3 linked regions of the Arabidopsis thaliana genome follow. The protein of the gene in region 1 interacts with the protein of each later gene in a pairwise test. Each region holds a gene or a part of one and is shown in the gene's direction. Other genes may lie near its edges.

The links. The genes of interacting proteins can lie anywhere in the genome.
Region 2: the proteins of HD1 (region 1) and AT1G75060 interact in a two-hybrid assay, tested with the Arabidopsis thaliana proteins (one study listed by BioGRID).
Region 3: the proteins of HD1 (region 1) and WRKY62 interact in binary tests that used the Arabidopsis thaliana proteins (3 or more experiments, as listed by UniProt).

The regions. Positions count from the first base shown.
Region 1 is NC_003075.7:17,894,215-17,903,114, reverse strand, and holds HD1 (histone deacetylase 1), read left to right. Parts: upstream 1-3,605; 5' UTR 3,606-3,811; intron 3,812-4,052; 5' UTR 4,053-4,057; coding exon 4,058-4,585; intron 4,586-4,669; coding exon 4,670-5,110; intron 5,111-5,240; coding exon 5,241-5,471; intron 5,472-5,726; coding exon 5,727-5,797; intron 5,798-5,885; coding exon 5,886-5,943; intron 5,944-6,371; coding exon 6,372-6,443; coding exon of another isoform or gene 6,444-6,452; exon of another isoform or gene 6,453-6,517; coding exon 6,518-6,622; 3' UTR 6,623-6,837; downstream 6,838-8,900. Other genes in the region: pde191 (Mitochondrial transcription termination factor family protein), read right to left, coding at 1-703; AT4G38150 (Pentatricopeptide repeat (PPR) superfamily protein), read left to right, coding at 996-1,904; AT4G38140 (RING/U-box superfamily protein), read left to right, coding at 2,810-3,247; AT4G38120 (ARM repeat superfamily protein), read left to right, coding at 7,055-7,318, 7,393-7,571, 7,646-7,904, 7,983-8,050, 8,156-8,225, 8,344-8,709, 8,803-8,882. UniProt on the Arabidopsis thaliana protein: Responsible for the deacetylation of lysine residues on the N-terminal part of the core histones (H2A, H2B, H3 and H4).
Region 2 is NC_003070.9:28,180,775-28,187,228, reverse strand, and holds AT1G75060 (histone deacetylase complex subunit), read left to right. Parts: upstream 1-3,725; 5' UTR 3,726-3,943; coding exon 3,944-4,168; intron 4,169-4,891; coding exon 4,892-5,024; intron 5,025-5,116; coding exon 5,117-5,256; intron 5,257-5,341; coding exon 5,342-5,404; coding exon of another isoform or gene 5,405-5,437; exon of another isoform or gene 5,438-5,501; coding exon 5,502-5,570; intron 5,571-5,649; coding exon 5,650-5,748; 3' UTR 5,749-5,954; downstream 5,955-6,454. Other genes in the region: BZR1 (Brassinosteroid signaling positive regulator (BZR1) family protein), read right to left, coding at 166-909, 1,254-1,520; AT1G75050 (Pathogenesis-related thaumatin superfamily protein), read right to left, coding at 6,167-6,454.
Region 3 is NC_003076.8:350,425-355,517, reverse strand, and holds WRKY62 (WRKY DNA-binding protein 62), read left to right. Parts: upstream 1-3,422; 5' UTR 3,423-3,504; coding exon 3,505-3,770; intron 3,771-3,856; coding exon 3,857-4,382; 3' UTR 4,383-4,593; downstream 4,594-5,093. UniProt on the Arabidopsis thaliana protein: Transcription factor. Interacts specifically with the W box (5'-(T)TGAC[CT]-3'), a frequently occurring elicitor-responsive cis-acting element.

The DNA.
Region 1 (8,900 bases):
CACACTCCTTCAAATAATCATAATTTGGTTTGAGAATCTTGTTAACGTCTCTGCACAAAAGTTGTGGGAAATTCATGACCACCGACTTAATGCCATCCTCACTCAGGCCAACGGATGATTTCAAGAATTCAGTGGTAGGCCGTAACCTTTTATCAACACTGTACCCCATAAGAAATGGGTTCTTCACCAGAACTTTGCCAATCATCCCATCTTGATCAAGGCCAAGGCTAGCAAGAAAGCTGACGATCACTGTCAGCTTGGTGTCGATGCTGTAGCTGATAAGCCTTGGGTTAAAAAGTATCATTTTGCCAAGTTGAGTCTCAGGCACACCTAACGCTTGAAAGAAAGCAAGAAGGGGACAGAGTTTCTCCTCCACGCTATGAGAGAGTATTGGAGGAAATTTGGTAATGGCGGAAGCAACTTCCCGAGGATTCCTTCCAAGACTGGAGAGGCACTCGACCATCGGGATGAGTCTCTCATCGAGGCGTAAAGTCAGGATTTTGGGGCATCGAGAGACGATGTAAGGGAGTTTTCTCTCTTGGATACCAACAATGTTACTCAGGTAGTCCCAGTTTTCTGATGCCACATCGCTTTGAGCCTTTTCCAACTGTTTGCATTTTCTCAACATCTTGTCGATACTCGGATCATCGAAACCTTTGTCCCTGAAGAACCACATGATGCTGCTCGTATTTGTCACCTCCATATAAACGCCACTACAACACACCAATTTTGCTTAACTTAGAGATGATTCGAGCTTTAACAAGGAAGTAGAGAGGAATTTACCTTGGAGGAGAGCCTTTCCGGCTATCCAATTGAACTGAAAGTGAGAAGCTTATCCACACGGAGGAGTGAGGACCTTCTTTCTTTCTTATACCCCCTGTAGAGTAAATGACTGTTATATCCCTCAATCCTTCTCGCGTGACTAAACCCTCCCCTTCTTCTCTCTCCGTCAAAATCTGCAAAACCCTAACTTTTCGAATCAGCGGCAGATAACGATGGTGCCTTCCTCCAAAGCCGTCGTTTTTGCAAGGCAGATGGCGAAGCAGATTCGTGTTACGACGCCGTCGATGTCCGCAACACGCTTTCTCTCAACGGGCGACAATGGTCAAGTAGACGAGCAGCAGAACCCTCCAGAGCCCTTACCCAACAGACCCTTGCGAGGGGAGAGATCTTCCAACTCTCACAGAGAACCACCCGCTAGACAAGCCCACAACCTTGGAAAGAGTGATACTACTCTGTCTGACGATGGCTTCCTCGAACAGTTCAAGCTTGGAGTCAATCAGGATTCACGGGAAACCCCCAAACCGGAACAATACCCGCAGGAGCCCTTACCGCCGCCTGAGGATTCCGATGAGATCTTCAAGAAGATGAAGGAAGGAGGTCTCATCCCTAACGCCGTCGCCATGCTTGACGGCCTCTGCAAAGATGGGCTTGTACAAGAGGCCATGAAGCTTTTCGGATTGATGCGTGACAAGGGTACAATCCCTGAGGTCGTTATCTACACTGCTGTCGTTGAGGCCTTTTGCAAGGCTCATAAAATTGAAGACGCTAAGAGGATTTTCAGGAAAATGCAGAACAATGGGATTGCCCCTAATGCCTTCAGCTACGGTGTGTTGGTTCAGGGATTGTATAATTGCAACATGCTTGACGATGCTGTTGCTTTCTGTAGTGAGATGCTTGAGTCTGGTCACTCTCCTAACGTCCCCACTTTCGTTGAATTGGTTGATGCCTTGTGCAGAGTAAAGGGGGTTGAACAAGCCCAGTCCGCTATTGATACCTTAAACCAAAAAGGATTTGCCGTTAATGTTAAGGCTGTCAAGGAGTTCATGGATAAAAGGGCTCCATTTCCGTCTTTGGCTTGGGAAGCCATCTTCAAGAAGAAACCAACCGAGAAACCCTTCTGATTTACTTACGCAGTGCTGTTAAGTATGCCGTCTCAGTAAGATGTTTTCTTGACTTGTAATAACAACCTTGAAAGTGAAAATCAATATGAGTCTTCCTTTTTCTGCTTGGAGTCAGGTATCGAGTTTTTTTTTTTTTCCTATGTCCTTTAAAAATGTGTAGTTGTAGATGTAGTTCCCTGTTTTCATGCATTCTAATATTGATTGCAAGTTCAATGAATAGCGTTGTGTTGGCGGTATAGGGTGTCAAATTATGCTTGACGCTTATCAGTCATTACCAATGATGTATGTGACTGTCTATTGCAAATGTGGCCGACTTCATGAACAAATATGAACAATAGTATCATTGGTTACATACACCAGGCATAAAACTACATCATCCTCCAAAGGCACTGCTGATCTCAGGGACGTGGAGGTCTGTTCTGTAGAAGCTGGCGCTATATTGAATACAAAATGCGTGGAGTCAACATTAAAATAGTTTTTATGATTCACTCGGAGATCTTTACTTGATTTGGTCGGCTGTATTATATTCGTGAACTCGGAAGTCAAGGCCTGTCTTGATGGAAGAATGACTCCTTACTTTTAATATATATATAAATAATACACTGGATATGAATGCCATCTTTTGTTTGTTTACTTTTGGCGTCATGTGATTCTTGTATTGTTTACTATTGTTAAATGCAAGTATCAGGTAGTGCTTAAGATGGAAGCATGTGCATCTCGTATGTTGACCATAACCTCTCCAAGAGTTTTCTTGGAGTTGGGAGAATCGCTGACTTGATTAAAGAAAAACAACAAAAGAATATAATAAGAGATGGGAGGTGGGGTCGGCGCCGTCCCTACTCGATGATATTAGTCTATAAAAGAGAGGGAAGGAATGAGGTAAAGAAGCAGAAAGCTGGAGAAAGATGATTTCAATGTTGTTTCCGCGGTCGCCTTTGTGCACAGCAGCCATAGTATTCTACACATGTGTGTGCATTCCCTTGGGGAGGTTGAAGAAGAATGGTGGAGATGCGGATGCGCATGATGATGACGGTTACAACCTAGTGGGAGTGATGTTTGGGGACAAGGAAAAGGAGGAGGAAATTTGCTGCCCCATATGCCTGGTGGAGTTTGAGGCTGAGGATGCGGTGACCCATCTTCCCAGATGCGCTCATCTCTTCCATATCAATTGCATAGAACCTTGGCTTCTCCGTGGCCACCTCACTTGCCCTCTCTGCAGATCATTTGTATTGGCTCCAACTCCTCCTACACAAAATGTCAATAATGCACACTCCTCTTCCACCTTGTATCTCTCTATCTTCTTCTTTTTCTGTATCTTTCTCCATCTACTTGGATACTTGTAGCCTAGCTTCCTTGTTAACACACCCATTCTTTATTTAACATGTATTTTGTCTTAGTTTCCAAGCACATATTGTCTCCATCTCCTTTTCAATCAAGATTTTGTGGATTACTCAGTTTTATGATATACTGTACTAAACAGAGACAAAAGCAGCACGAGTTTAGTTTTACCAGCCTTGCCTAGTGCCTACTGCTGCTCTAGTGCTCTGTTTCCTAATTGATTTGTTACTCTGCGTAAGACCATTAAGTAAACGGGCTAAAGGCAACTTAATAGGCCTTATTTTTAAAACACATTAAAAGTGGGCCTCATTTTAAACCATAACAGATTAAAAGTGGGCCTTTCCATTATAAACTGAAAGTAGAAAAAGTTGGAAGAGAAGAGTAAGTAGGCTACAGTTTCAGTCAGAGGTGAAAGAAAATCTGAAAGCAAAGCAGAGAGCAGCTCCCTTCCCCTCGGCGAGGAGGAAGGAAGAAGAAAGCCAGAGAGAGAGAGAGAGATCATCGCAGCTTCTCCTCCGACCATTTGACTGCGACTGTGATTACAACACACCGTTGATCCTACGAAAAAGGTCAGTCAGACTCTCTTCCTTGTCTGCGTGATTCCATTTTCCGGCGTCTGTCTAGCCTCGCCGTCTTTTAATATCTTTCACTCGCCTTCCTGTCTCTTCTGCACACTAGATTTGATTTTTTCGTAACTTAAAAAAATGTTGTTGTTGTCATTCAAACGCGTCCATGGCTCAGCTACTCCGCGGCTAGGGTTTAGTTATCATTTTTTAATAATATAATTTTTATGGATCGGCGTGCGTGCAGAGGTAATGGATACTGGCGGCAATTCGCTGGCGTCCGGACCTGATGGTGTGAAGAGGAAAGTTTGTTATTTCTATGACCCTGAGGTCGGCAATTACTACTATGGCCAAGGTCATCCCATGAAGCCCCATCGCATCCGCATGACCCATGCCCTCCTCGCTCACTACGGTCTCCTTCAGCATATGCAGGTTCTCAAGCCCTTCCCTGCCCGCGACCGTGATCTCTGCCGCTTCCACGCCGACGACTATGTCTCTTTTCTCCGCAGCATTACCCCTGAAACCCAGCAAGATCAGATTCGCCAACTTAAGCGCTTCAATGTTGGTGAAGACTGTCCCGTCTTTGACGGCCTTTATTCCTTTTGCCAGACCTATGCTGGAGGATCTGTTGGTGGCTCTGTCAAGCTTAACCACGGCCTCTGCGATATTGCCATCAACTGGGCTGGTGGTCTCCATCACGCTAAGAAGTGCGAGGCCTCTGGCTTCTGTTACGTCAATGATATCGTCTTAGCTATCCTAGAGCTCCTTAAGCAGCATGAGGTTTGTCCACCTGCACCGTTTTGATATATGCTAGGGATGGTTATGTCGTTTCTGAATCTCTAACTCTTCCTCTCTCGTTTGCAGCGTGTTCTTTATGTCGATATTGATATCCACCACGGGGATGGAGTGGAGGAGGCATTTTATGCTACTGACAGGGTTATGACTGTCTCGTTTCATAAATTTGGTGATTACTTTCCCGGTACAGGTCACATTCAGGATATAGGTTATGGTAGCGGAAAGTACTATTCTCTCAATGTACCACTGGATGATGGAATCGATGATGAGAGCTATCATCTGTTATTCAAGCCCATCATGGGGAAAGTTATGGAAATTTTCCGACCAGGGGCTGTGGTATTGCAATGTGGTGCTGATTCATTGTCTGGTGATAGGTTGGGGTGCTTTAATCTTTCAATCAAAGGTCATGCTGAGTGCGTCAAATTTATGAGATCGTTCAATGTTCCCCTACTGCTCTTGGGTGGTGGTGGTTACACTATCCGCAATGTTGCCCGTTGCTGGTGCTACGAGGTACTTTCTTCTGTTCATTTTATGCTGCTCTAGCTTTGCATTGAAATTTCCTTGGTCTCTGTACCAAGGTTAGCCCTCTGTGACGCCTCTCTTTCTTTGAATTTATTACAACAAACTGTTTATATGACAGACTGGAGTTGCACTTGGAGTTGAAGTTGAAGACAAGATGCCGGAGCATGAATATTATGAATACTTTGGTCCAGACTATACACTTCACGTTGCTCCAAGTAACATGGAAAATAAGAATTCTCGTCAGATGCTTGAAGAGATTCGCAATGACCTTCTCCACAATCTCTCTAAGCTTCAGCATGCTCCAAGTGTACCATTTCAGGAAAGACCACCTGATACAGAGACTCCCGAGGTATGCCACTTGAGCAAATCATTTGAAGTGTGTTGGCTCCTTTATTTCTGTTGCCCATTCTTTCTTGCATTTCCTCATGGGTTTTGGTGAGCTTATCTAAGTGTAACTGCAGTTACAATAAGAATTTTCTAATTTAAACAGCTGGGCTGGTAAATAATGTTCGTCCAGTTAGATATGTATAAGTATTCCTTGATTGATGACTCTGGTTGTTACCAATCTTAGTTTTGTAAAATATGCCTTCTATGTAAATTATAGGTTGATGAAGACCAAGAAGATGGGGATAAAAGATGGGATCCGGATTCAGACATGGATGTTGATGATGACCGGTATGAAATATATATGTTTCCTCCCCTTTTTATTTTTGGTTCGAGTCAGCGGTGTAATGTTTACTTAATGTGGGATCGCATTGTGCAGTAAACCTATACCAAGCAGAGTAAAAAGAGAAGCTGTTGAACCAGATACAAAGGACAAGGTACTACAGCATTATCTCTTAATTGTTTCGATTTCTCAGACACTTTTTCTGGTACAAACATTTGAAGTCATTAGTTCATCTAGGTTTACAGCATTTTCCAGAACAGCACAATGTGCTCTGATAACATTACACTTTTTCTCATCCCGAGACCCAAAACCTAAAGATTCCAGAATGAGTCTCATTCTGACATTAAGTCAGTTAGTTTAAGCTGGAGATACATTCACATGAGGGTAGCGAATCTTTAGCTACGGTTAAATCATTTAGCCTAGGCTATTTATTTAGTATGCTCCCAGCTCCAACAATTGACCTGATTAGATAGTGTGACCGTCTAGCCAAGCTGAGCTGAATCATCTCTGCCTCTCAATTCCTAAAGCCGTCTCCTTTTCTTCCGAGATTAATTTATTTATCATGGCATGTTGTTCGTGCAGGATGGACTGAAAGGAATTATGGAGCGTGGAAAAGGTTGTGAGGTGGAGGTGGATGAGAGTGGAAGCACTAAGGTAAAATGAAGCAGTGGACAGGGCTGAAAAGGGTGGGAATGGTGGTTTTCTAAAGTGGTTAGTTTTGATTGCAGGTTACAGGAGTAAACCCAGTGGGAGTGGAGGAAGCAAGTGTGAAAATGGAAGAGGAAGGAACAAACAAGGGTGGGGCGGAGCAGGCGTTTCCTCCTAAAACATAAGACTCGGAGCTTCTAATTTCTTGCTACTTTTTCTGTCTATCAAATGTTGCTAGTTAAGTTTCTGGAGTTGTTGTTGTTGTAAGCACTCCTCTGTTTTAGAGGATTGAGCACGGATATGTATTTATTCGTTGCATGTCTGAATGATGATATGATATGACAAGACGAGCTATTCCTTTTGCTATATATTTATTGATTGGGCCGAAGAGATCTGCGTCTGCCCACCCCAAAAAAATAAAGAATTGATGTGCTAAACGCAGCAATGAACATCATCAACTAGTGAAGTGGGTGGAGAAGATGTTTTCCTGTAACACAATTGATTTCTAACTCTAAATTAAAAAAATGTAAATCCCTTTAAGACTATTAAGCGTCTCTCTGTCTGTCTCTCGTCGTTCTCGTTTTTGATTGCTTAGTTTTTTCCCGGGAGACTGAAACATGTTCACGGCGGCAGCTTCGTCAAGCGTGGGAAGGTGGCGGACGGCGTTTCTCTCTCTCAGGGACGAAATCTCAACCACTCCACCGCCGCCGGTTCCTCTGTTGCTCGAGGATCTACTCTTCTCTCAATCCCATTCCCTTATCTCTGCCGTCTCTCACCTCCCACTGCACGAGCTCACTTCCGATTGCTTGTTCCTGCTCGATTTGGTTTCCAAAGCTGATGGTCCTGACTGGATCCCTGTCTCTCGTCATACTTGTCAACTGGTGCGTCTTCTCCTTCTCTCCTCCCATCATTTCCTTGTTATTAATGGGATCTCTCCTCCTTTTTATTAATCCAGATTCACGATGTTTGTGCTCGTCTACTTTTCCAACTAAATTCTTCGTCATGGCCGCTCCTTCTTCACTCTTTTGCTTCTGTCTTGGAGTTTCTTCTTCGCCAACCCATGCCTTCTTCACCTTATTCCGCTGCCTATTTCTCCAGAATCGAACCTGTGATCCAATGCTTCGAGACTTTAAGGTTATTATATATCTTCTCACAATCTTGCTGACATTGTTTAAACCTTATTCGTAATCTCCTCTTCCTTTTCCCAGACGTTTGGCCCCTATGCATCCGGAGAACATTCATCTAGTCAAGTTTCTTGTGCGCGTAGTTCCTTTATTACACCAGGATTTAGTTTTATCCTATGGTTTCTCAAATCAAGACCCTTCTCCTACTTTACTTGTGGAAAAGAAACTGCCTCAACAGAATCGCTTATGGGATTCCATGGCTCTTGCCTTTGACATGTTTGGTAGAGCATTTTCTCTATCTGAGTCTTTGTTTCCTACTGACGTCTCCCAATGCACGCTAGAGGTAATCTTCCCCTTCACTGATCGATCCTCTCATTTCTCTCATATGCTTTGTTTCTCAACTTGGTGAATTCTCATATAGGTTCTAAGGAAAGTAATGGACGTATTAGCATCTAAGGGCCAGCTTGTCGAAGACCGATTCATGTGGAGGTATATGCCTTTGGTTTTGTGGAGACTACAATTTACTCCTTTTTTTCTGGGTTCTATTAGACTTGTTGCCCTCTTAGGTAATATTCATTTCTTAATTTTCTACAGCTTTTATTCATGCCTTCTAGGCTGTGTGCACGAGGTCCTTACAAATATCAAATGTCCTGTTTCTGATCACGTAAGTGGGTTCTTGATACCCTTTGCTCCTCCTCTTAGCCTTGGATAAGTGATTTTCTGGTTTAACCTCCATATCAGACTTTTTTCCTTTGTTTAAGCAGATTTTTTAAATGTTGCAGGTCTTAAGTTTCATAGCGTCATTGAGAATGTTTTTCTGTTTTGGACTTACTGGCCCACCTCAGTTATCAGTTTCTGATGTTGTTCACAACGATAAGCATTTGAATGTCAAGCTTTCTCCATTGATTTCTGGAGTAAGTAAGAATGCCAAGAATACTCCTTATAGGCCACCCCACTTGCGCAAGAGGGATGATTTGAACACTAGGCAGCCAGTGTCTTCAAGCTGGCGGCGCCTATCTGCTCATGATTCTGGTAGTTCTGATGTTATATCATCAGATTCCGATTTTAGTGACAGTGACGGCTCCGTACCGGATTCTTATTTTGCCCAAAGCTCCAAGGTTAGAATAGCTGCAATTGTTTGCATACAGGTGAGTAACAATGTATTATTCTTAGTTGGTTCTCATCTTCTACTTAACTTTTCAGTGACAATTACTTATTCATTTTCTTTTTTTCCTGTTAAGGATCTTTGCCAGGCTGATTCAAAGTCATTTACCACTCAGTGGGTGACTCTCTTTCCAACAAGTGATGTACTCAAGCCAAGGTGGAAAATTAACCTACA
Region 2 (6,454 bases), on another chromosome or scaffold:
CAATGCTTCCATGGAGAAGGCTTTGGGCAGCATATTTGGATAATAAGTGAAGAACATATGAGATTCCATAAAGATCCAAATACCTGGACGAAGAAGAAAATACTCAAGAGGATTAGTTTCTCATATTCCAATGACATGCCATTTGGGTTTGCCTAGTTGTTTATGTCAACCACGAGCCTTCCCATTTCCAAGTGTAAGCTCAAGATCCTCCATACCCACATCATGTATCCTCTCTCCTTCCCAGGGTTTAACTTGGCTATTCTCAAATTTAAACTCAGAGCTTTGACCAATCTCTTGGAAGGCAGCAGTATTTGGAGACATCTGCTGAGGCGCAGGTTTCACAAGATTGAAGGTAGGAGAGGTTGGCACCATAGAGGCAGAGAATGGCTGTTGTTGTGCAAACTTCTGAAAGCTTATCCAATGACCAGAATCAACAGTGGAAGAGTCAGACTCATCACATTCAGGTATAGTAGCCGGGGTATGAAACTGGTGGCGATGTGTCGGACTAGCAGGTGCAGAAACCGCATAGAAAGGATAATTAAAAGACGCCATTGATTGTTTAGCAATGGCCATGGATTGCTTAGCGATAGATTCCCAGTTAGGCAACGGTTTCGGGTTCTTAGAAGTCGGCGATGAGACCGGTGGGGTAACTGGACAACTGTTTGAGATTCTGAGGGAAGGAAGAGAAGAAGGAATGCCACCATTTCTGAGGAAAGGGAAGAATGTAGAGGACATGTTGTTATTTGGTTCACCGCGAGAAGGACTCGGGAATGATGAAGAAGACGGGCTAACTTGGTAAGATGGGATGGGACTTTGAAAGGCTGATGAAAGAGGGCTCTGGTTCTGTGATGAATATGGAGTTACTCGAGATGAAGTCCCAGCTATCTCACCAGGTAAAGGCTTGCATCCCTGATACTCCAACAAAAGCAAAACAATAACCAATCAAACATCAATCAATCACAGGTAAGCAAAAGAAACACAATGCAATGACTTTGGACCAAGTATCATACATAAAAGATTAAGACTTTAGCATACCAATAATAACTCTAAAATTAGAAAGAAAACCCATAAATTCACTTTGAGAAATCAGATCCATCCATAGTTTCTGATGATTCAAATTCACTTTGAGAAAACCCTCAAATTCTCAGATTCAAACCCATTTAACCACAATTGAAATCAACGAATTCAGATTCAAACATCAAAAACATCAATAAAACAAGCTCAGATCTGGAAAAAATGGAGAAAGTCTTCACCTTGCGATAAGTAGTACCATCTTCTTCAACAACCCAACCAGCTTCAACACAAAGAGCTTTAAGGACTTCATTATTATCACAATGTTTAGGCAAATTATAATCACCTTGAGCTCTAAGCCCAGTGTATATCTTCGCAGCTACAGCTCTTCTCCGTCTTTCTCTCCTCCGATTATTCTCCCTTTCTCTCCACGACGGCTTCCTCCTCGCCGCTGCTGCCGCCGCCGCAGCTGCAGCTGCTGATGTCGACGTAGCTCCATCCGAAGTCATCGGGAAAACCAACAACCAACCCCTCGAAACTTCCGGAGAGAGCTTTGAATAGGTGGGTGAAAGATTGTGTGAACGTAGACTGATGAAGAAGAAGAAGAGAGGAGTGAGAAGTTAGTGCTCACGAGGAATACGCTTTTCCTTCGCTGGAATCGAAGAAGAAGAATCTCTCTTTCTTCTCCAACAAATAATAATATTTTTTTCATCTAATGTAAAAATTGGGTCGTGTGTGTGTTCAAGTACATTGAGTTCATATTAAGAATCATTGTTCTTGTGTATCGATCGTCCACGTGTAAATACATGGTTTTGGAAGGGTGAGATTACGTGAGGTGAATATAAGAGGTGTATGTTAAGGTGCAGAGGATAACTACGCTTAGTAACGTGTGTTTATGTTCTAATCTTTTTTTTTTTCTGTGAGTATGTAAAATGAGTAATGACCAAATAATACAGAGAAAAGAAAGGAGGAGACACAGTGGGACCGTTTCTTCAGTGTGGGTCCCTTACTTGTGTGACCGAAAAACACACCATTTGATTGGTTTTTAAAATTTTATTTTATACAGTGAAGCCGTGTGATTAACATCATAATGATATATTCAATTAAAAATTATCACTTTTTTCTTGCATACAAATCTCACTTTAGAAACAATTTTGACTACTTTTGTCCTGATTAGTTGTATGTACACTGGCTCTCTCTTTTTTTTACCTTCTTCGTACCTTACAAATGATATAAAGATTGGTGAATACCATTTACTATGTTCTATAAAGTATTTAGTTTGGTTACATGTTGATTTTAAGCTTTAGTATCTAATATCCAAATTTTGGATTAATTGCTGGGTCCATCATTATTTATGTATTCATAACCAAAACTTGTATAGTTCATTGAACATAAAAGGAAAAAGGGGTTTACGAGTTTGTCCCATAACAAGGTTCGGCGGCATATATGATGTATGATCATGTAATATTTTTGGATTATGACGTTTATTTTGTAGAAAGTGCAGGAGCATGTAACTAATGTCTTAAAAGCAGAGGAACCCGAACCATCAACGCGAGTTGGGAAACATTTGGAATGAATCAGAGGGTTCGATGAATTAGGCAAAACTAAAGTAATCGCCGTTGCCGGGGATCGAACCCGGGTCACCCGCGTGACAGGCGGGAATACTTACCACTATACTACAACGACTTTGTTGCTAATCGAGCGATTATGTGTTAATTATTGGTGATACGTTTTAAATCATCAGTTAAATCTTAATACCAGCTTTCGTTTCTAGCATTAAAAGGAATTTAGGGGTTTTCTTCTTTGGTTTGGCACTAGTAACCTACTTGTGATAATAAGTAGATTATGTGTTAAGTATGTTTTTTTTGGAAATATGTTCTGTTTTTCCGATTAACTCCATGTTACCTAGCTAACTCGTTTTGGACAATAAGTACATTACTTTAAACCATCAAACTTACAAAATGCTATGTCTTGAACAAGAAAAAATGTTGGCTTAAGAATCACTCCATGAACATTGTTTTAGTTTAGTTAAATGTTCAATATGGACATTATACGATGACATATTTAATAGAGGCGTGATTTCAAATTCAAATTACATTGGAGAGGAACGAAAACAAATAAACAATAGGGGTATAATCGTAACTTACGCATGCATGGGCCCCATAACTCCTGACTTTTTTTTTATTTTGAAAAAACCCAGTCAACCATTCATATTCACGTCGATCGCGTGTAGACATTACACAAAATTTACGAAGTGTGGCCCTCGTTTTCCTTTTTTGATCATTTTAAAACCCTCTAAAAGCATCAATCTCAGATTCCAATACAAATTAGTACCCAAAATGTTTCATACAAATTAACCAAACGTATCCACTCCTTTCTTTTTTGTTTCAATTTCGTTTTTACAAAATCTAAATCTTCACAACCAAGACAAGACAAGTAATACAGTGAATAAAGAGTAAAAAGTAATACAAGTTTTCCAACAAATGAATTCATCTTTATTAGAGAGTAAAAAGTAAAAAAGCTCTCGGTAAAAAACAAAAAAAGGTTTTGGTACCCATCCATGAAAAAACCGCTCAATTTCCACAGTGCAAATGATACAAGTACAAAACACACGTGTTGATACCTTATTGGTCACGATAGGAAGGCGGTCGCTATCGCCTATCGTCCCTTCCCTTCCCTCCTCTGTATCTCTATCTTTCTCTCTCTTACTCATCATAATACACTCTGCTTTTTCCTCTTTCTTCTCTCACTCTTACTCTGTCTTTCTTCATCAGACCAAAAACAAACCCTAATTTCTCAGCTCGATTTCTCTCTTACTCCATTTCTCAATCCTTCACAAAATGCACCAACTTCCATTTCCGAGATCGTAAAAAAGCTTGTGGTACTTTCTGATAATAGAGAGGGAAAAAACGAGAGAGAGAGAAAACACAAAATGCTGGAAGCTCCGGTGAACAAGTCAAGCATCCTCAATGGAGGAGGAGGAGGATTCTCTCAGCTACAGAGTTGCTTCGGCGATTGCAGTAGCGAAGAAGAATTGTCAGTGTTGCCACGTCATACCAAAGTTGTCGTTACTGGAAACAACCGTACCAAATCTGTTCTCGTCGGTCTTCAAGGCGTCGTTAAGAAAGCCGTCGGACTCGGTGGTTGGCATTGGCTGGTGAGCAAAGATCAACTTCGCTTTCTTCTTTACCTCGTTTTGTCTTTTTTGCATCTTTGTGTCTGTCTGTGTTTTTATTCCCCCAGTAGAGTAGATTTTTAAAAACTGATTAACAAAAGATCCAGAATCATTAGCTCAATAATGCAATAAAATCAATGGTTGTTCTATGTTACCGATTAGATTGATTGTTCTTAAAATATCATAACTTTATTTTGTTAAATTGCATCATAACGATCTGCACTTTTTATATTTATTTTTAACTTTTGTGTTACTTTTTCTCAATCAATTCCTTGAGAATCCTTATCTTTGTGGGTTCAAGCTGGCTTTTAGATTTGTTTTACTTGTAGTCACTAATTTTGATATACTTTAATTAATAATATTTAGGGTTTTTGTTCTTTCTTTTTCAGATTGGTCATTTTCATCCACTGAAAAATGTTAAACTTTTTATAGATGTTCTCCGTTTCATTAGGCTTCCTAGTTTTTATATTATCAATTTTACTTTCTTTGATCCTTTTTTGATCATTTCTCTAGCTATACAATAAAAATCAGTATCTTATACGATTTCCTCATAACCCAAAGCATCATTTTTTTTTTTACTAATATCGATATCAAATTCCACCACTTCTTGTCTCCAACCATTCCCATTTCTCAAAAAGTCCCAAACTTTACTTTGTTTGTGGAGTTCAATTTTTAATCTTTGTCCTTTTTGCTTTAAATTTTCAGGTTTTGACTAATGGAATTGAAGTGAAGTTGCAGAGGAATGCGCTTAGTGTTCTTGAACATCCTACAGGGAACGAAGAAGACAATGATCTTGAAGTCGACCATTCTACACAGTGGAATCATCCCTCCGATATGAGTAAGTTTGGTTCCTTGTCTCTGCAATAAAGTACCAAATTTTAGTCTTTTTGAAATGTTTCATAAAGACCGTTCTTTGATTGTCTTTTGCAGCAACTGAGGACACTTTGAAGCCTCATAAGTCGAAGAAGAGAGGACACAGATCATCGCGGTTATCTCAAAAGGCTTTGTACAGGGAAGTTTCTTGTGACTCACACTCAAAAATCTCGAGTATTACTCCTCGTCTGAACATGGTAAGGCCTCAAATTTCTTCTACTTGGTGGGGGTTTTCATGTTAATGCTATGTGTTACTGATTTGGGAATATTGTTTTAACGCAGAAGGTTGATCTTACCAAGTTGGATATGGCTGCATTACTGAGATATTGGCGACATTTTAACCTCGTGAGTTCAAAAGAAACAATCTTATGTTACTGATTATTGTGGAAGAGAGTGTTTTGTTTTTTACAACAGGTGATTCATTGATCTCTTTTTCGTATAGGTGGATGCTCTTCCGAATCCCACAAAGGAGCAACTAATTGACATTATTCAGAGACACTTCATGTCTCAGGTAGACATCAAAGCTATGATATGTTTGTGAATGTTGTCTTCTGATTTTGGATTAGTCTGAGACATGTTCTTGTTTACAGCAAATGGATGAGCTTCAGGTTATTGTGGGATTCGTTCAGGCTGCAACAGGAATGAAGAAGGCTTGCCAAGTGGAAGACCAAAGAAGCCAGAAACACTGATCCTTAACTGCATCAGCTAAATCTCCTTTAATAGACTAACAAATATCTGCGCGGGTCACATGTTTTAATCATTCCGCGGCTTAAAAAGTTTGGGTAAATAGTTTAGCTCTCTCTCTTTTGGTAAACACTAGTAGTTGTTATTGCTCTCTCATGTAATTAGGTCCATCAAGAACAAAATGATATGAAACAAAGAAAATCTCTAATGAAGCCTCCATCTTTGTTTTTCCAGATCTCAAATAAAATAGGTAATGCAAAATCAATACTTTGTAAAATATAAAACAAGATACAAATCAAAACAACAATGCCAATGAAATGAATGTAACAACTGAGTACTAGAAAAATCTTTAAAATGGAAAAATATGAACCAAAGTGCTATTAAGCAAAAGAAACGTGAAATCTGAACCGGAGCTCCTGTTTTTTAGTTCCGGGTGGGGCAGAAAGAGATCAAGTAGTTAGAGCCGGTACAAGTGAAGGTGCTCGTGGCGTCGTCGTAGGCGTAACTGTAAGCACCAGGGCAAGCGCTTTTAAACATCGCCGAGTAATGCGTCGGAGAACAAGTTTGCGGCGTCGCGTGAGCACCGGTACAACAGAACTCCTCAGAATTAAACGCCGCACAAGCGCTTTTACACGCCGCGATGATTCCTGTATGTGGATCCATGAGCCGAAGCTCGTTAGGGCAAACCGCGTTGACGTCGGCGACGCAGCC
Region 3 (5,093 bases), on another chromosome or scaffold:
TCAAAATTTAGTAAAATATATTCAAATATAATTAAATTTATGAAAATTTAACAAATTTAAAAGCTTTTTTTGTTTGGAGACCCTCTATCTACAAACAAATACCCGTTTCTATTTTTTGGGTATTTTTAGGGCATGAAACTTTTTATCCAAACTGACCCAAACCCAAATGGACCCGACCCAAACCAGAACCAAATATTTAGAATTATTCTATTGGGTAGTAAATAATATACCCATTAATCCCAAACCCGAACGGGTTCTACCCGAACTCGAATGAGTTACTCATATGCCAGCCCTATTCTCTGATTTAATGATCTAAAAACTCCCCAAAAAACATATATTTTGCTGACTACTTTTTATTCAAAAAATTTTACATCCTCTTCTGCCAAAATTATTCATAAGACATCCCAAAACCCTTGGAATAATGATTCCATGAATGAAGAATCTTAATTTGAATATACCAAGAGATTTTGAAAGGTTTTAAGTTTTTGATAGGTGTGTATCTGAGAAGGTACATACATCGTGATGGTAATCTACCTATTTATAATTTTAACCTGCAGTATACCGCAGGTAAGCTTATATTTTAGTTAAACTAAAAACTTTTATTGTAAAGATAATTACAAATATATGATATTATTTTATTTGATTTTAAATGTATAGTAAACTGCGAGTTGTATATGTTTTGTCGATATTATTTATATTGTTTAGTGTTTAAAATTATACACTTGTATTTTGATTGTTAATTTTAGAGTTTCACCTTTAGTATACCATCTTGTATATATTAATATCGATCTAAACCTGTCAATTCTAGGATTTTCCAGCTTGTATTAAAAATTGAATCACATCATACACATAAAAAATCTAATATGTTATTAATTATTGTAGTATATAAAATTATGAATTTCAAAAATAAAATATGAAATTGAATATAAATATTCAAATTATGACCCAGTACTCAGTAGAAAGTTTTCTTAAATCTATTTTTGACCCGTTATAATATTCTTTTATGTATTGAAAAGTTTATATTCATTTTTAAAAATTCAAATTATGGTATATGCAAAAAAAATCTAATTATTTGTTTATAACGATGATATTTCGCAAAATTATAATCATATAAAGATGAGAGGTGAACTATAATAATTAATAAAAAAATTAATATGATAATTTAGATATCAAATCTAATTTGTTGATTTTAATTGGTTATTTTTTTAGAAAGTAATAATGTATTTTTTTTTTAATTAAATTAGTATTTTACTTTTTAATTTTTGAAGAGATGAATTAATTTACTTTTTAAATTTTCTTTCTAATGGCATACCTATGTAATTACTTACAAAAAATAAGGTTACATTTAAAATGTACTTCCCAAATAATATAGTAGGATATAAGTATTTCATGATAGTTAAAAAATGATTAGAATCTTGGGTATATAGATAAGAAGATTTATACATGAAAAAAATATAATTGATTTTTGAATCAAAAGTGAATCTAAGTATACAAATATAATTACATAAAATGAATATAATTTTATTAATTACATAATAACATATAAGAAAATAACAAAATTTAGCAATAAAAATAGTTAAACATAATTGTTTTTAAACAATTTTCAAAACAACAACCCACGCGTATCGTTGGTACTCACCTAGTATATATAAACTTGCAAAATTACCTACAATAGTTTTTATCGTGCTTATACATTTTATGCACTAAACTCAATTTTATTATTTGTTTGATTATATTTACATTTTTTTGTGGGTTGACCGTCGACTGTTGACTGGTGATTACCTATATAAACGAAGCGTAGGTATTATTACTTCACCATCTAAATACTACTTTGCACGTTGACAAAAAAAAATGTTAATTGTTAAGAAAAGTGCTTTATAGTTTCGTTTAGCGGACGATATTGGGTGAGAAGATTGGATCCAAGCTAGGGTTAAGCAATAAACATTATAACGTGAGAGAGCTTAACGTTAGGGAAAGAAAAAAAAAACTTAACGTTAGGGCACGTTACCTAATAAGGGTAAGAGTAAGGCCGTTGGAGTCTGACACCGTTGATAGTTCACATGCGTGTTAACGTCCGAAACTAGTGGATGAGGCGTATTACTGCCATATAATTAAGATATATTTAAGTACTCAGGTTATATTTCTGAAGAATTATTTGATTAATGCTGCTTTATATATGTAGTTAACCATTTAAGGTCCGTATAGAACACCAACACGTACATATAGCAGCGAGAATTCGAGATTTTTTTTTTAAAATTACATCAAGCATCGTGATTTGAGGGATCATGTTATCCCAGCTATTATCTAAACGTACATAAAAATGGGAGGCTCAAATCCGGATTCGACCAAGTTTAGGGAAGTCCAGTAAACAATAGTATAATTAAAGTTACATATTAGTGATGGAGGAAATTAAAGTCGCAACCTAATAAGGTGAAAGAAACTGAGCCGCCGATATTGAAGCAGAAACAAAGGCTACTTTAATTTATGATTTATGTAGCTTAGTGTAATGGTTATTTTACTAATTTATACTAATAAAGGAAGAAAAGGGTAAGAGAGAAATAAAAAGTTGAAGCTGTTACGTACTAGATCTAGACATTAATTTAGTATAAGAAAAGAAACATAAGTAGACATCTAAACAAGCACATGCGGATTACGCTTATTATATTACAAAACCAGAAATACTTTTGAAGCAGTTGATATCCATCGTTGGATTGATGAGATTAGATTTGATTAGTGCATTATCTGTCATCCATAATTCAACTATCCATGACGTCACGCCATCAAGGTAAGATGAGGTCACCGAACCCTACGTCACTCTTGATGAAGCTCTCTCTCGCCTTTCAAAGTGGCTGCCTCCTCCTTTTTCTACGGCCGTTTATTCGCCGTTCCATCTTCTCAGGTGCCGTGTCACATGACTTATATACGTTCACCGCCACCGTTGTGAGAGTTTACTCAATTTTACAACAAAACGGACTTTTTATTCAGTTGATTTTACGCGACGACATCAAATAGATATATGGAATCTTGTTTGATGGTTTTTTCCTAATTCTAGGAGTACTTATTACTGATTATTTGGAGATGCGAACCTAATTAAGTAGTAGAGACTAGAGATCTAAGAAGTCATGGTTGTTAGATAAGAGTTTACACATAATTCATTAACTAACTTTATAATTAGAAGAGTTGTTGGGTAAGTCAACTAGTAATACTCCTACTTGTTTGTTTGTTTTTTGTCTTTATATTCTCGAGGGGCCACTTATTAATCCGCACATTGCTAATACGAATTACGTAATAGTACATCCGATAGAGAGGTTAACGAAGGAGTGTATAGTAATTGACTAAACTCTCTCACACGTACGAAACTTCGTAACAAGACCATTATCTCGTCTTCTCGACCTATTCGTATATATATCTAAAGAGAGAGAGACACAATGGATCACATCTCTAAACTTAATAAACCCACAGAGCAATAATTATAAGTATTTACTCAAAAAAAAACAAAAAAAGATGAACTCTTGCCAACAAAAGGCTATGGAGAAGTTGCTTCACGGGCATGGGTGCGCCAACCAGCTGCTCATCATGGACCAGACCGAGTCAGACTCGTCCATGGAAAGGGAGGATTTGGCCAAGTCCGTCCTCCATTGTTTCTCAGATGCGCTCTCCATCTTGATCGATACTAATGACCACCAAGACGATCAATCCAATAACTCATCTCCTCAGGACTCTTCTCCTGTGCTTGAGAGCTCCAGGAAACCACTTCACAAGAGGGGAAGGTATGAATATAAACATCATATTCATAAATTGAAAATGTTCTATCTTTGAGTGATTGCTCACCATCATGAATCTCATGTGGTTGCAGAAAGACATCTATGGCAGAGAGCTCAGACTACCATAGACACGAATCTTCAACCCCGATCTACCACGACGGCTTCCTCTGGAGGAAATACGGACAAAAGCAGATCAAAGAATCTGAGTACCAAAGGAGTTACTACAAGTGTGCCTACACCAAGGACCAGAACTGTGAAGCAAAGAAGCAGGTTCAAAAGATCCAACACAATCCTCCATTGTACTCAACCACTTACTTCGGCCAGCACATATGCCAGCTTCATCAAGCTTATGCAACTTTCCCCATTGACACATCTGACTTCGAAGAGCACGAGGGATCCCACATGATCCGATTCGGTCACCCCAACATCAGCTTCTCCTCCTCCACCTCTAACCTCCGCCAACATCAGAATCATCAGGATCGCATCAAAGATGAATACATGAAACCGGTGATAGCAGAAGATTGGTCTCCATCCCAGTGGATGTCGTCCGAGGTTGCCCTCGCCGTGGAGGCTTTCGAGTTTAATCCTTTCTGGACATCTCACGACTTATCATCATGACACTATATCCCTCAGCTCTATCATCATACATATATAGCTTCTTTAATCCTAAAAACCTCTATATATATATATAGTCTTATACATCTCCATGTAATATGTTTCAATCTCTACTTGGTGATTTTGTTTGAGTACTCATCATATTAACCTACAATAATACATGAAGGTTGTACTGTTGTTGCCAGCTTTTCCAATTTTATACATACGGGAATCTTTCATAAACAAACCTTTGAGTAAAGTTTTCTAGTACCTTTCAACCATCAGCGGACATTTATGTGATAATATATGTATACTACTCTTTTATAAGAAAAGAGGGTGACGTTGAAGCAGATCTAGACTTGGTGGATTTATTCTACATTGAACAGTACCTAGCTAGTACCCAATGTTTGAATCCAGAGAAACAATCATTCTTTGCAAGTGGCTTATGGTACGCATTTAAGCATGAGACAATGCTCGTGTCTCTATGAGCTTCATCGAGCGACCGAGCACACATATCAAACTAGGACCAAAAAAAAAAACGAAAATTTGTTTGAGCTAGGGTTTTCACTCGTTGGACCACTGTCTACAGCCGCCGGAGTTTCGCCACAGTAACATAACTACAAATTTAAACAAGATTTTTTAATTTAAAAAACTTGCTAAAGTTTGTGTTTGGCACAAATTTTTGAAGCTGTTTGTTTCATCGGCACGCAGGATAACATGTTTTTCGTCACTTCT